Caenorhabditis elegans: one gene and its partners. The protein of the gene in region 3 interacts with the protein of the main gene of each other region in a pairwise test. Each region holds a gene or a part of one and is shown on either strand. Other genes may lie near its edges. The genes, in order: cdc-25.3, rpl-24 and ttx-1.

Region 1 (4,095 bases), on a different chromosome or scaffold from region 3:
AATCTGTTCGCAAAAACTTACGTGCTAAATCTGTTATTTTGAATTTTTTATCTTTTTCTTTATTGAATGAATAATATTACACATACGCAAAATTCTGCTATTTTTGCGCCAAAAATACGGCTTGATACGACAATTTTTAATGCAAAGAAAGTGTGCACCTTTAAATAATACTGAAAATTTAAACTTTCGCTGCTGTAGAATTTTTATCGATTTTTTAAAGATTTAATCACAACTTGAGACAATTAATAAATTTTTATCAAAAAGCTTTAAAAATCTACAAAATTTCTGCAGAATCGAGAGTCTGAAACTACAGTATTCTTTACAGGCGCGAAAAAATTTTATCGTGTCAAGTTCAGGTACCGTACTTTTGGCAATCAACTCACAATATTCTGCGGGTAGGTAATACTAACAACCTCGATAATCGATCAAGATACGAAAACTTTAAAAGCTAACCGATTGCACTAAATTATTTCAGGCTACGCAGTAGCATTCCGTGTTGGAATTTCAATGTCTGATCTTCAAAACACAATTGCCATTCATCCATGTTCTTCTGAAGAGTTCGTGAAGCTTCACATTACAAAACGATCTGGACAAGACCCAAGAACTCAGGGATGCTGTGGATAATTCAAAAAGTTTATTGACAAATCATTCAGTTTATTTATCAAAGTTAATTTACATCCTATTATCCTGGATACTAGTAATTATAATTAAACATAATAAATAGTACAAAATATTTGATTATCCTTTTTAAAAGATACCGGGAACTACATATTCTTAATGCGCATCGTGCTCATGGATGGGATCACATGTCTGACGAAGTGTCGAAATACGAGTTCCAGAAGTTGTTAGAATAGATATCACAGATGTTGTTGAACTCCATTTCTTCATTGGCTTCGAAACATTCTTCTTATGGAACTGGTGCTTCCGAAGCTCAGCCTTATAACGATCATCAAACATGATTACATAATTATCTGGCTCACAGAGTTGTACTCTTTGTTCCTTCTCTAATCCCCGCGTGAAAGCGTAAAAGTTTTTATAACCTCCTTCCAACAAATAAATCTCCTCATAATCACATCTCGGATAGATATTTGAATTCAGTTTTCTGTCCACTTCCCGAAGGTTGTTCGCCATGGTTGGTCCACGTTTTTGACTGTATTCACAGTAGAAAATGGGTATCCGGTTGATTTTCTTGGAACCATCTTTGTTGAAGAAGAAGTCTGCAGCAGTTTCTGGATTGAACAGGCTTTGAGCTCCCTGAAAAGATTTGCAGTTTTAACTTTCTGGTATTTTTTCAAAACAGTTATTATAATTCTTTTTTCTGAAACGCACACTTAAAGGCGCATGATTTGGTTTGGAAGGGTCTTGCCACGAAGGAAAGTAGATTTTTTATTAATTCTAAAATTAAATGTGTTTTCTGTTTTTGACAGAACCCATTAGAACGGACTCATGATTCTTTAAGTACGAGTTTTAAGAAGTACAGTATCCCATTCTCATATGGCATTTTCTCTCGAAAGAGTCTATTTATTGAAAAACTAAAATGATACACGGACACGAAGAGAGAATATAAATTACGAGGGTTACTGTAAACTTAAAGGTACACACTAAGACTTTGGAGTCTGGAAACGTAGTACAAACGGCAAAAACTAACCTTAATATGCCCTCCATTATATTCATAATCATATCGGCAATCAATTAGAATATATTTCTGCATAAACTCAATTTGCGATAGCTTCTGCATGATTTCAATTAACGTTTCAGAAGTGATTTTTTGGTATACGGTAGAACAGCTAGGCGTCACGGTTTCCAAATGATAATCCACTTGAAGATGGGCATTCCATGTCTCAATTTCCGAAGTTGAATGGCTCTTTTTTGAGAAAGTTAGTCTTTTCTTTATCACAATTTCAGAAGTATTCGCAGAATCCGTTCCAGATGTATATCCTCCATCAATGCTTCGTTTCCGAGTGGGTGGCGATGAGTTGGAGATGTGGCTGATCGCAGAAGAGTGTTGACGGTTTTGTCTGTAAATTATGGATTTATTGATATCGAACACAAATAATCAACTAACCTTGGGAATAGCTTCGAGGATCCTTCAGCACATTCAGAACATTTCAGCCGGAGCCCGTCATTGCGAACAATGCAGTTTTCACATGGAACGTCAACGCACATCAGGAGACTTGGAGCTAGACTGAACTAGGTATACCTGAATGAAAGAATGCAATAGAATGGATTTGAAGACTAAATGAAAAAAGAGAGACTGACTAGTCTAGTTTAATATGAATTGGAATGGGATCAGTAGAAAACCCTAATGAACACTCAATAAAATAAAACATTATTTTAGCGCGCAATGATCATGGACCCTCCCCTTTTATATGGTCCCCCTCGAGATCGATATAACCTATATAAAATGGGGCGGGCCGTTCTCCTGGGAAGACAATTGATCTCGCAATTGTGTGCCAAGGTGTCGTGTTAGTGTGGCGATGTGCACCTATTTCCGGGAGTGAGAATTTGACCTACGATTGTTTTCACCTTTAGAGCGGGAATTAGACAAAGAGAATATGAGTAGATTCGACTGGGAAGTTTTGATTCTGGGAAGAAACGGTGAGAATTGTCTCTAATTGTATTTAACTTTGAACAATTTTAAATAAAATTTTTGGTATAAGGTGTAGAATATGGCTTGTGGGCAAAACAATTGAAAATCATTAATTTGATGGATACCATAATAATTTTTAAAAAATTGGAAAAGAAAAAATTGGAAAAAGAAAATTTCCACCTATAAAAGGAAACGAAACCGGCTTCCAGGTTCTTGACTGACTCTTAACATATCTAGATCAGAAAGAACCATTGGTATTTCAAGAGTGAAATTTTTTATAACCATTCCTTTGGTGAAAAATACATTCTATGAAACTATTGAAAGCTCCTAAATTTTTGATAAACTTTTAAAATCAAAATCACTTCAACAAGGTGTTCGTTCTTCCAACAGCTTTCTACGTTTATTGTACAAAATACACTTTCATAAAAACGAATAGTCAAACTTTCAATTAGTATTTTTCAATCAATGTCGACTTGATAAATTGACAAAAATCAAAATGCCGAGTTATTTTTTGAGAAACTTAAATCTTCTGTTGTCAAATTATACGCGACAAACTATTAAAATAACAGTAGTGATACTAGTTTAGGGTATTTCATATTTGGCTACAGTATTCTACAGTGTTCCTACTGGGATAACGGAACCTAAGGTTCTTAGAAATTAATGTCAAATATGCGGGTAATCCAGCAAAATTTCCATTTTTCACTGTCTCATTAATATTTTGTAAAGTTTTATTTGGATGGTTCAGGCACCATTTGGCCCATGTAAAGGGGTGCTTCTTTTTTGAAAACTATTTTCCAACTGTCGCTACTCTACTTCTAAAACAGTTTTTATATTATTCTTCGAGTCATTTGAATTTCGAATCACTGTTTAATACAATTGAAAATAAGATTTATTCAAACTACCTACAGAACAAAAAAATCAATAGAGCAACAATGATTTTGAAGATTAGAGAACACTTTTACAATTTTCCCACATTTACAACTAACTCTTTTCCGGTATACAGCTCTGTACATTCTCATCCAGATATAGATTTAAGATGTCTAAGGTGTAGTGTAGTCTTCTCATATTTTCTCCCATCTCCACACTCGTCTCATTGTGGGTATACTCTCTTTCTTTTCAGTCTTTCTTCTTTTATTAATTCAGAAGATGCGAGCCCATTACCAACCACCTGCGAATCAAAAACTGGCAGTGGTTATTCTGGATTTTGGCACTCTGCCAAATCGGGATCCCGTTGTGCAGTGCATATTTGAATGTTATTGCGAATAATCATTGGGATTTTCCATGAATAATCCTTAGTTCTTGTTTTTGCGACTTTGACGGTCTGTAAATTGATAAACAACAATAATGGCAGTAGTTTTCGAGTGGCAGACGAAGTGGAGAAAATAGTAAATTGGGGTTGTGTGAGGATGGAAACTCAAAAATCAAAATATTTTGACATTTATTACTGAAAATTAATCATTATATTTTTTTGGAAATTTTTATATTTTTTGTAAATTCTCTCAAAA
Region 2 (3,655 bases), on a different chromosome or scaffold from region 3:
GATTTTCTATACTTTGACACTAATTTCTAATAAAAAATGCTGAAACAAGATGGCGCAATAGGTCAATTTGACTGTGTATTTGCAAAAATCCGACAACTTACGGAAATAAAAACCAAAGCACAGATCTACTCGGAAAATCGTGACAGACTCGATTAAAACTGAAAAGGAAGCTCGTAATGATCAGTGTCATCACTGGTGTTTTAATTGCTGCATATTCTACAATCATCAGGCTCGACTGAATAAACTGCGACTGGTTGGCGGATATTGTGGCGATCACTTCAGTTATCTGCACAATTCTTTATTATTGATTTCTATTTTAATAAATGTAAGGCATTACCGTTTTCCAGAAACAGACGGTTACCCTCCAGCCAAGTAAAAGGCCAACACATGACAGGAAATATGGATTTATGAGATGGAATTTCTGAAAATAATGGACATATTGAATTTCCTGTTATCCTTTTTCACACTTACAAGTGAATAATGCCAATACGACTTCGGAAGCCACCAAAGAGTTTTGTATATATTCAGATATTGTAAAAATAAAGCCAATACTGAATATAAAAACAAAGTGCATTCGAAAAATAGCTCTCCTTGTGTGAACTGAATATCCGGCCATATAGGATGGACGGAAAGCGTTACACCACTCGCTCTTGGGATTGAAGCTGGCACGGAAGGAGCTTGTGGTGGAGGTGCCGGCACTCGTCTTCGAGGCGGCATATCTTACTTAAATTCCACAAAATGTATTACGATTCTAGGCAGAGTGACAATGTACTTGTTGATGGAAAATTCACCGTTTTGTTTATTGTATTAATTCAACTTTTGATGTAACAATTTCATTAGAAAAACAATAACATTTATTGTGGTGGTGGGGCTCCACGGCCGAATCCGGCTCTGTAGACTGGGGCTCCTCCTGGTCCAGCCTCGGTGACCTTCTCGGTTCTGTAGGCTTCACGGTCTCCCTTCTCGCCTTGAGCTGAATATTTTCAGCAATCAATAAAAGTACTTGTAGGACAAAACTTACCGGCGCGTGGGGCTCTATCCTCGTGTGGGACACGGATCTCTCTTGGCTTGGTCTTGATGGTGGCTGGGACGATCTCAGCTGGAAGAGCGAGGTACTCACGGAGGTACAAGATTCCGGCGTCGGTCAAGTACCAGTAGTAGTGGCGCCAGGCAAATTGCTCCTTAACCAACTCGCGGGAGGCAAGAGACTGTAATCACAATAGATTATTGATTTTTTTAATTATGGGAAAAATAACTCACCTTCAAAGTCTTGATGACCTCAAGGTTGGAAACTCCCTCGATGTTTGGGTGAGTCTTGGCATTGAAGTCTTTCTTGGCGACAGTCACTCCCTCGTTGAAGAGGTACTCATAGATGAGCTTGGTGTGGCTTTTCGGGATGAACATGATGACCGCAAGTTCTGAAACAAATACACAATTTATAACAATGCACAATTTTTTACGAAATAGGAAGAGATTTTTTGGCGATTGGAGGAATCTTCAAAAGTAGGGCAGAAACAAGAAAAATCGATTGAGATGCATTATTTTTGGGACTCAACAGAATTCCACCTGGAAATTCAGGATTGATTGCTTATTAGAGTATAAATTTTCACTTTTTTAACACAATAAGTCACTAAATTTTCAAAGAAACGGGATTTTGGAAAAAAAAATTGAAAGAAAAGAGGTACAACGAAATTCTTCCGACTAATGCATTACATAGGGGCACACACGCAGCGACACAGAGAAACAAGTGATTTTGGTTAAATTCGCACAGCCGAAACGAGTGTTACCGTACTCTTGCTGCGTAGCGCCCCTATCTTTTGCATTAGAGGAGTTTTGAAGAGAGGAAAGAATTTTTTCGTTTTTTTTTCGAGGCCTATCCCAACTCCTTGTTCACGAATGTTTTAATTTTGGGAATAATTGATTATTGGAAATTAAATTCGTTATTTTTATAAGCTACAAACAGATCCTTGATAATTGTCGTTGATTTTACTTTATCCTAAATTTATCTCAAAAATGTTGAAATTCAGATTCGTCAAGCGAGGGCCTATCAACAATGAAGGTCGAAACCTGCGTTTACTCCGGATACAAGATCCACCCAGGACACGGAAAGAGACTTGTCCGTACTGACGGAAAGGTGAGTTCAGTTTCTCTTTGAAAGGCGTTAGCATGCTGTTAGAGCTCGTAAGGTATATTGTAATTTTACGAGTGTTGAAGTATTGCAAAAGTAAAGCATAATCACCTTATGTATGTGTTGGTGCTATATCTTCTAGTTTTTAGAAGTTATACCATCGTTAAGCATGCCACGTGTTGAGTGCGACAAACTACCGTTTCATGATTTATTTATTCAAATTTCAGGTCCAAATCTTCCTCAGTGGAAAGGCACTCAAGGGAGCCAAGCTTCGCCGTAACCCACGTGACATCAGATGGACTGTCCTCTACAGAATCAAGAACAAGAAGGTACTTGAGATCCTTAAACGCAGTTGAAAATTGGTAATTTTACAGGGAACCCACGGACAAGAGCAAGTCACCAGAAAGAAGACCAAGAAGTCCGTCCAGGTTGTTAACCGCGCCGTCGCTGGACTTTCCCTTGATGCTATCCTTGCCAAGAGAAACCAGACCGAAGACTTCCGTCGCCAACAGCGTGAACAAGCCGCTAAGATCGCCAAGGATGCCAACAAGGCTGTCCGTGCCGCCAAGGCTGCTGCCAACAAGGTAAACTTTCTACAATATTTATTATAAACTTTAGCATGCTGTTAGAGCTTGTAAGGTATATGTGATTTTACGAGTGTTGAAGTATTGCAAAAGCAAAGGACGGGCACAATTGCCATGTGTTGGTATTATTGCTTCAAGTTATTTGAAGCTGTAATATCAATAAGCATGTCTCGTGTGAAGTCCGACAATTTACCATATGCATGAAATTTAAAAACAAGTTAATTTTGTCAATTCTTTATCATTGGTTTTCAGGAAAAGAAGGCCTCTCAGCCAAAGACCCAGCAAAAGACCGCCAAGAATGTGAAGACTGCTGCTCCACGTGTCGGAGGAAAGCGATAAACGTTCTCGGTCCCGTTATTGTAATAAATTTTGTTGACCGTTAAAGTTTTAATGCAAGACATCCAACAAGAAAAGTATTCTCAAATTATTATTTTAACAGAACTATCCGAATCTGTTCATTTGAGTTTGTTTAGAATGAGGACTCTTCGAATAGCCCAGTACAGTGTTCTTACTGTTGGGTTCGCCATTTATATGTACCGACTGATTGAAGAAATTCCGATAGACATAAGGAATTTAAATTCGGATTCTCTCGAGGGGATCATCAACTCCGATGAACTATGTGATGTCACCGTCAGCAATAGGAATCGTGGGCTTTTAGTTCGAAACGACTCTTTAGATCTTGATATTTTGAAAGCAAAATTCACTACATTTTTCAGCAAAAGATAGTTAGTTTTCTGGACTTATTAAAAAGGATAATATGGTTTCAAAAATTCAGTCTCACTCGATTTCTAAGCGAACAAGTTCCTTTTCTGCACGTGATCGATGAAGCTCTTCTCGTGAAACGATTTGTGATGTGTGCATGCTTTATGGTATTCTGTTTAACAGTGATCTGGTTTCTGGTGATTCGAAGAATGGGAAATCTCATTAAAAGATTGTCAGTGCT
Region 3 (4,758 bases):
AAAAATTAAAAAATTGCAAAAAAAATTGGTTCCAAGTAATGTTATCAGTGCTCAAAGTTGAAGAACAACCAACAACAAAAAAAATTTTGAAAAAAAGTTGCAATTTTAAAAGTCAATTTTCCTGATAGTTTTGAAAGGTTTGTATTTAAATTTATATGTTATCGAAAGCCCAATATGTGATCTACTCAAAAAATTAAAAAATTAGCAGAAAATATCAGGCTTAAGTAAAGTTATCAGTGCTCAAAGTATGAGAATAACCAGCAAATTTTTTTTGTTGTTTTTTATTTTTATTTTTTTAAAAACTTTTTCGAACCGAAATGTCAAATTTTGAAGGAAAGATTTTCAATTTAAATCTAACATAAGAAATTAAAATTTATCCCGCATACTTACCCATTGTATCACTTACGCAGCAGTTACCAATACAAAAAAGAATCAGGTGATAACAAATGCACAAGTAAGTATGCGGGGTGATGGGGTGGGGGGAGGGAGGGGACCCCCCGAAAAAGCTGCTAAAATCCGCTTTTTAGGATTATGTCCTTAAATCTTAGGGTATTAAACACTCGAACCCGGTGGGGGGGGGGGATACCTGGGGCACCCAAAAGAAGGGCTCATCCCTCCTCACGGGGCATCAAAATGCGATTTTCTCGGCCAACGCCAATCCATTCCAAATAAACCGCCCATTTTTCTCGCCGCTCTCTTTGTTTTCCATGCTTTCTACGCTTTGTGACCGTACCACGTTTGGCTCCGCCCACTTTTCGGGCCAATGTTGGGGACACGGCGGCGGGCGGGGGGAGGAGCCCACCCCTGCAGTTTTGAATTGGTGTGGGTGGGGGGGGGGCCTTATTAATTGCTTTATTGATTTTTTTAAAAGGAAACTGTAGGTTTTAATTGTGCACTGACCCTATTTTTAAGAAATTTAGTTAGAAAGTGTGAAATTATTTCCAACAAAAAAACAACTTTTTTTTGGAAATTTTTTTTTGATCTATTTATGCTTATCCTGTGCACTTTAAAAAATTGTGTGCATTTTGAAATTCTTGGAAAAGGACATAAAAAAATTTTCAAACATTTTTAAAAAATTTCAGGCCATCATAACTTTTTTCTAAATTGATCTATTTTTATAAGTCTAGAATTGTTTAAATGTTTATTTTACGTACTTATAGAATTTTTAATTATATATGTTAAAAAACTGAGCAAAAATCTTGAAAGTTCGACATCAATTGTTTAATTTTTTAATTTTCCAAAAAATTGAAATTTTCAACCCCAAATTCAAATCTTCATAACTTTCTTCAAAATCAACCGACTTTGAATTTTGTTCATCTTTTTAATATTAATTTTTGTGCTTTTTAAGTATTATTTAAACAATTCTATTAAAAACCATATACACATACCGAAAACTTTTTTTTTTTGGTTTTAGAAACTCTCAGTTGAATTTTTTTTTAATTTTAGCTTTATTTTTAAACCTTCATAACTTTTTTCAAATTTGGTCAATTTTAACTTTAATTATACTATTTGAAAGCTTATTACTGTGTTATTTAGGCAATGTTTTTCAAAAAAATTCACTATGCAGTTGAAATTTAGACATTTTAGAGGAAATATTTATGAAAAAATTTTTTTTTTGGCCCCCAAAAAAACGCAAAAAAAATTTTTCCCCCAAATCTCCCGCAACCGTAATTTTTGATATATAATCAACCGGAGCGTGTCTTGTTATTTCAACGCATCCGTGACGCTGCTCCGCGAGCACATCGTGATGAGCGCTACTGTTTGCCTCCAATTTTGGGACTGTGGTGTGGTACTGGCTACCGTAATCTCCCGTGTGTGTGTACCTTTCTCATCAAACAAAACAATTGATTTAGTTTGGGTTAAGCAATGGAATCTGTTTCGCTTTTTGCTTGTTGGAGGAAAAATTTTTTTTGGGAAACTAAATTTTTTTGGAATTTTTTTTAACCTACCTAGAATTTTTACAGTTGGCGTAAAATTGTGCACAGTTCACAAAATAAAATTATACTAACCTAAAAGCTTGAAAATAGGCGACTCAAGTATATATGGTAACTTGGTAGTATATTAATTTTGAGCAGATCTATAAAGTGTCCCATTGCGGTTTGATCTACAAAAAATGCGGGAATTTTTGCCCAAAACAATGTGACGTTAGCTGCTTTTATAGTCAATATATTTTTCTTTTGGATGTGGCTTAAACCTCGAAAATGAGACAATTTTAAACCAAGTTATGATAGCTTGAAAATTAAAGAAAAAATTCGGTAAAAAATTTTTTTAATCAGAAAATTTGAAATTTTCAAAGTTTTTAGATTTTTTTTGCAGTTTACAATACTTACTAGTGCTTGTTTTTCACAGATCTGGGCTTTAAATTTTACTACAAATAAGCTTTTTATGTACATTTCAAGCAAAGTTATGGCTAGTCAAAGTTTATGAAAAACTCAAAAAAAGTTTTGAAAAAAACATTTTGAAAACTTTTTTTGGTGACAAATCTTTGAACGTTATACATACTGCTCAAATTGCTCATTTTTTGAGCTTTATAACAAAATTGAAACTGGCTTCAACGGTCCATTTTCAGCAAAGTTACGAAGGTTTTACATTGGCGCCCCCGGTGAGGGGCGGAGCCTAAACTACAGTAACTGGCCACTCAAATTGTTTGAATTCAAGGGAATTTAAAGGTCTAAAAGCACAATTCGAAATGTTTTTAGGTATGTATATAGTTAAATAGCAGTTTGGAAATTTTTGAAAAAAAAAAAAAAATTTTGAATAAAATTTTTTTTTTCGAAAATTTGCATTGAATTTTTGTCTAAATTTTCAATTAAAATTATTTTAACTGCTTAATATTGTTTTCAAGCTGTTTTGCCTAAAAAACCGGCTTCAAGCCCCTCTAAACGGTTTTTAACGGGTTATCCTCCTAAAATACCATCTGAGATCTGAAATCTGAAATCTGAAATCTGAAATCCTAAGCTAAAGGCTTAATGGTTAATAAGCTTCATAGGCTACAAGCTACACAAAAAAATTTAATGGGACTTTAAAGGAATCGCAGAAAAAAATGCTTTAAAACTTTTAAGAAAAAAAATTTTTTTTGGAAATTATTTTTCGGACCTACCAATTCAACAATAGAGTCGGATGGAGCTGAGGAAGACGTCAAGGACATGAAGCAGGAATATATGACAAATGAAATACGGATTTCAGGGATTTTCGGGGCGGCTTCTGATCCATTTTCCAATCAGTCTAATGGAGCTACTACAGTACCCCCCGGGGATCCTGGGATGAGCTGTAGAGATTATCTTATACCTACGTAGGTATATATATATATATATATATATATATATATATATATATATATATATATATATATATATATATATATATATATATATATATGTTAATATTAATATGCATCATAATAATAATGGAAATTAATTTGTGAATATTGGGAAATTTTTCGACATATTTTTTCAGGGAACGCGGCGGTCTGGAAATTCTGAAAATTCTGAGAATCTGAAAAAAAATCTGAAAAAAATTTCGAAGCATAAATCAAATATTTCGAATATTTTAGCACCTGGAAATTCAAATTTTGAGAATTTTTAACGTAGTAAAAATTTGATATGAATTTTTTACCATTTTTCAAAAATTGTCAAAATTTCAAATTTTTTAAACTGCGATTTTCAAATTTTCAAATTAATTTTAACACATCATAGTTATACCAGTATTGTTAAAAATTGTCTCAGCTACTACAAAACAAAAATTATTACTTTGTAGGGTGCTCATGAAAAGAATCTATTCTAAAAAATTGAACAAAAAAAATTTTTGGAAAAAAAATTTTTTTGGAAAATATTTTCAAAATACATTTTTTCCAGATCTCAGTTTAATTTATACATGTTCACAAATTATAGGTGTTTAGCGAAAAATTTTAGCATCCCAACAAACTATGTTATGACAGTTTAAAATAACATAATAATTTTGAATTTTTTTTTTTTATTTTTCAATTTGATTTTTCAGGTTTTCAACTAAATTCTATCAAAAAACTTATAACATCAATCTTGTAGCAAATTTTTTCAGCTATCCAAAAACAATAAATTCCATTTCACAACTCCACAACAAACCAAGTTATGCGCCTTTAAACTAGTACCCCTCCACCCCTAGCAAGTGGTAATCCTTTATTGACTCTCGACTGACCAACCGATGTCCGTTTTCTCCTTGAAAAGTGTTAATACACTTGTCAAACTTTCCTCCCCATCTTTTTGCGGTATATAGTCTCTATATGTCGGCTGTCACTTAAAAGGACCCTGCAAACGAGTGCCGATGCGGGTGGGGGGGGGGGGGGGGAGGCATGTGTTATGGGTAAATAGACCGGAAACGAGAGGATACGGTGATTATGGTGTTAACAGTGAAGGGGTTTAGTAGGTGTTAAAATAGTGATAGAAAACTTTTGATAAACTAGAAGGAAATTTGAATTTTGGTTATTTGAAGAAAAAAATTTGAAAACTAAAAAAAAAATTTTTTTTTCGAGTATCACTTTTTGAAACCTTGTGATTTTTATTTTGTTATTTTTCAAGTTGTTCGAAATTAACGTTATCTTAAACAACTTTTCATGAACTAAACAAAAATCTATTTTTTATAATTATCGGGTCAATGTGTACTAAGTTATGAGCATTTGAAAATCAGTTAAAATTTCAAAAACAAATTTTTTTGAGAAAAACATTTTTGAAACTTATTTTTTCAATTTTTCTAAAAGCACCACAAAGATGTTCTAACATGGGT

The links.
Region 1: the proteins of ttx-1 (region 3) and cdc-25.3 interact in a two-hybrid assay, tested with the Caenorhabditis elegans proteins (2 studies listed by BioGRID).
Region 2: the proteins of ttx-1 (region 3) and rpl-24 interact in a two-hybrid assay, tested with the Caenorhabditis elegans proteins (one study listed by BioGRID).

Annotation. Positions count from the first base shown.
Region 1 is NC_003281.10:8,915,730-8,919,824, forward strand, and holds cdc-25.3 (M-phase inducer phosphatase cdc-25.3), read right to left. Parts: upstream 2,201-4,095; 5' UTR 2,167-2,200; coding exon 2,066-2,166; intron 2,019-2,065; coding exon 1,649-2,018; intron 1,255-1,648; coding exon 775-1,254; 3' UTR 625-774; downstream 1-624. Other genes in the region: trxr-2 (putative glutathione reductase 2), read left to right, coding at 476-624.
Region 2 is NC_003279.8:4,583,088-4,586,742, forward strand, and holds rpl-24 (Large ribosomal subunit protein eL24), read left to right. Parts: upstream 1-2,027; 5' UTR 2,028-2,053; coding exon 2,054-2,134; intron 2,135-2,161; exon of another isoform or gene 2,162-2,322; intron 2,323-2,355; coding exon 2,356-2,457; intron 2,458-2,502; coding exon 2,503-2,712; intron 2,713-2,786; exon of another isoform or gene 2,787-2,896; intron 2,897-2,964; coding exon 2,965-3,051; 3' UTR 3,052-3,089; downstream 3,090-3,655. Other genes in the region: tmem-39 (uncharacterized protein), read right to left, coding at 102-286, 338-421, 472-717; rps-10 (Plectin/eS10 N-terminal domain-containing protein), read right to left, coding at 855-973, 1,022-1,208, 1,261-1,404; D1007.10 (Gustatory receptor), read left to right, coding at 3,187-3,437, 3,488-3,655.
Region 3 is NC_003283.11:20,061,027-20,065,784, forward strand, and holds the start of ttx-1 (Homeobox protein ttx-1), read right to left. Parts: upstream 3,151-4,758; 5' UTR 3,149-3,150; coding exon 3,101-3,148; intron 395-3,100; coding exon of another isoform or gene 391-394; intron 1-390. UniProt on the Caenorhabditis elegans protein: Probable transcription factor. Binds to a motif including the sequence 5'-TAA[TG]-3' in regulatory promoter elements.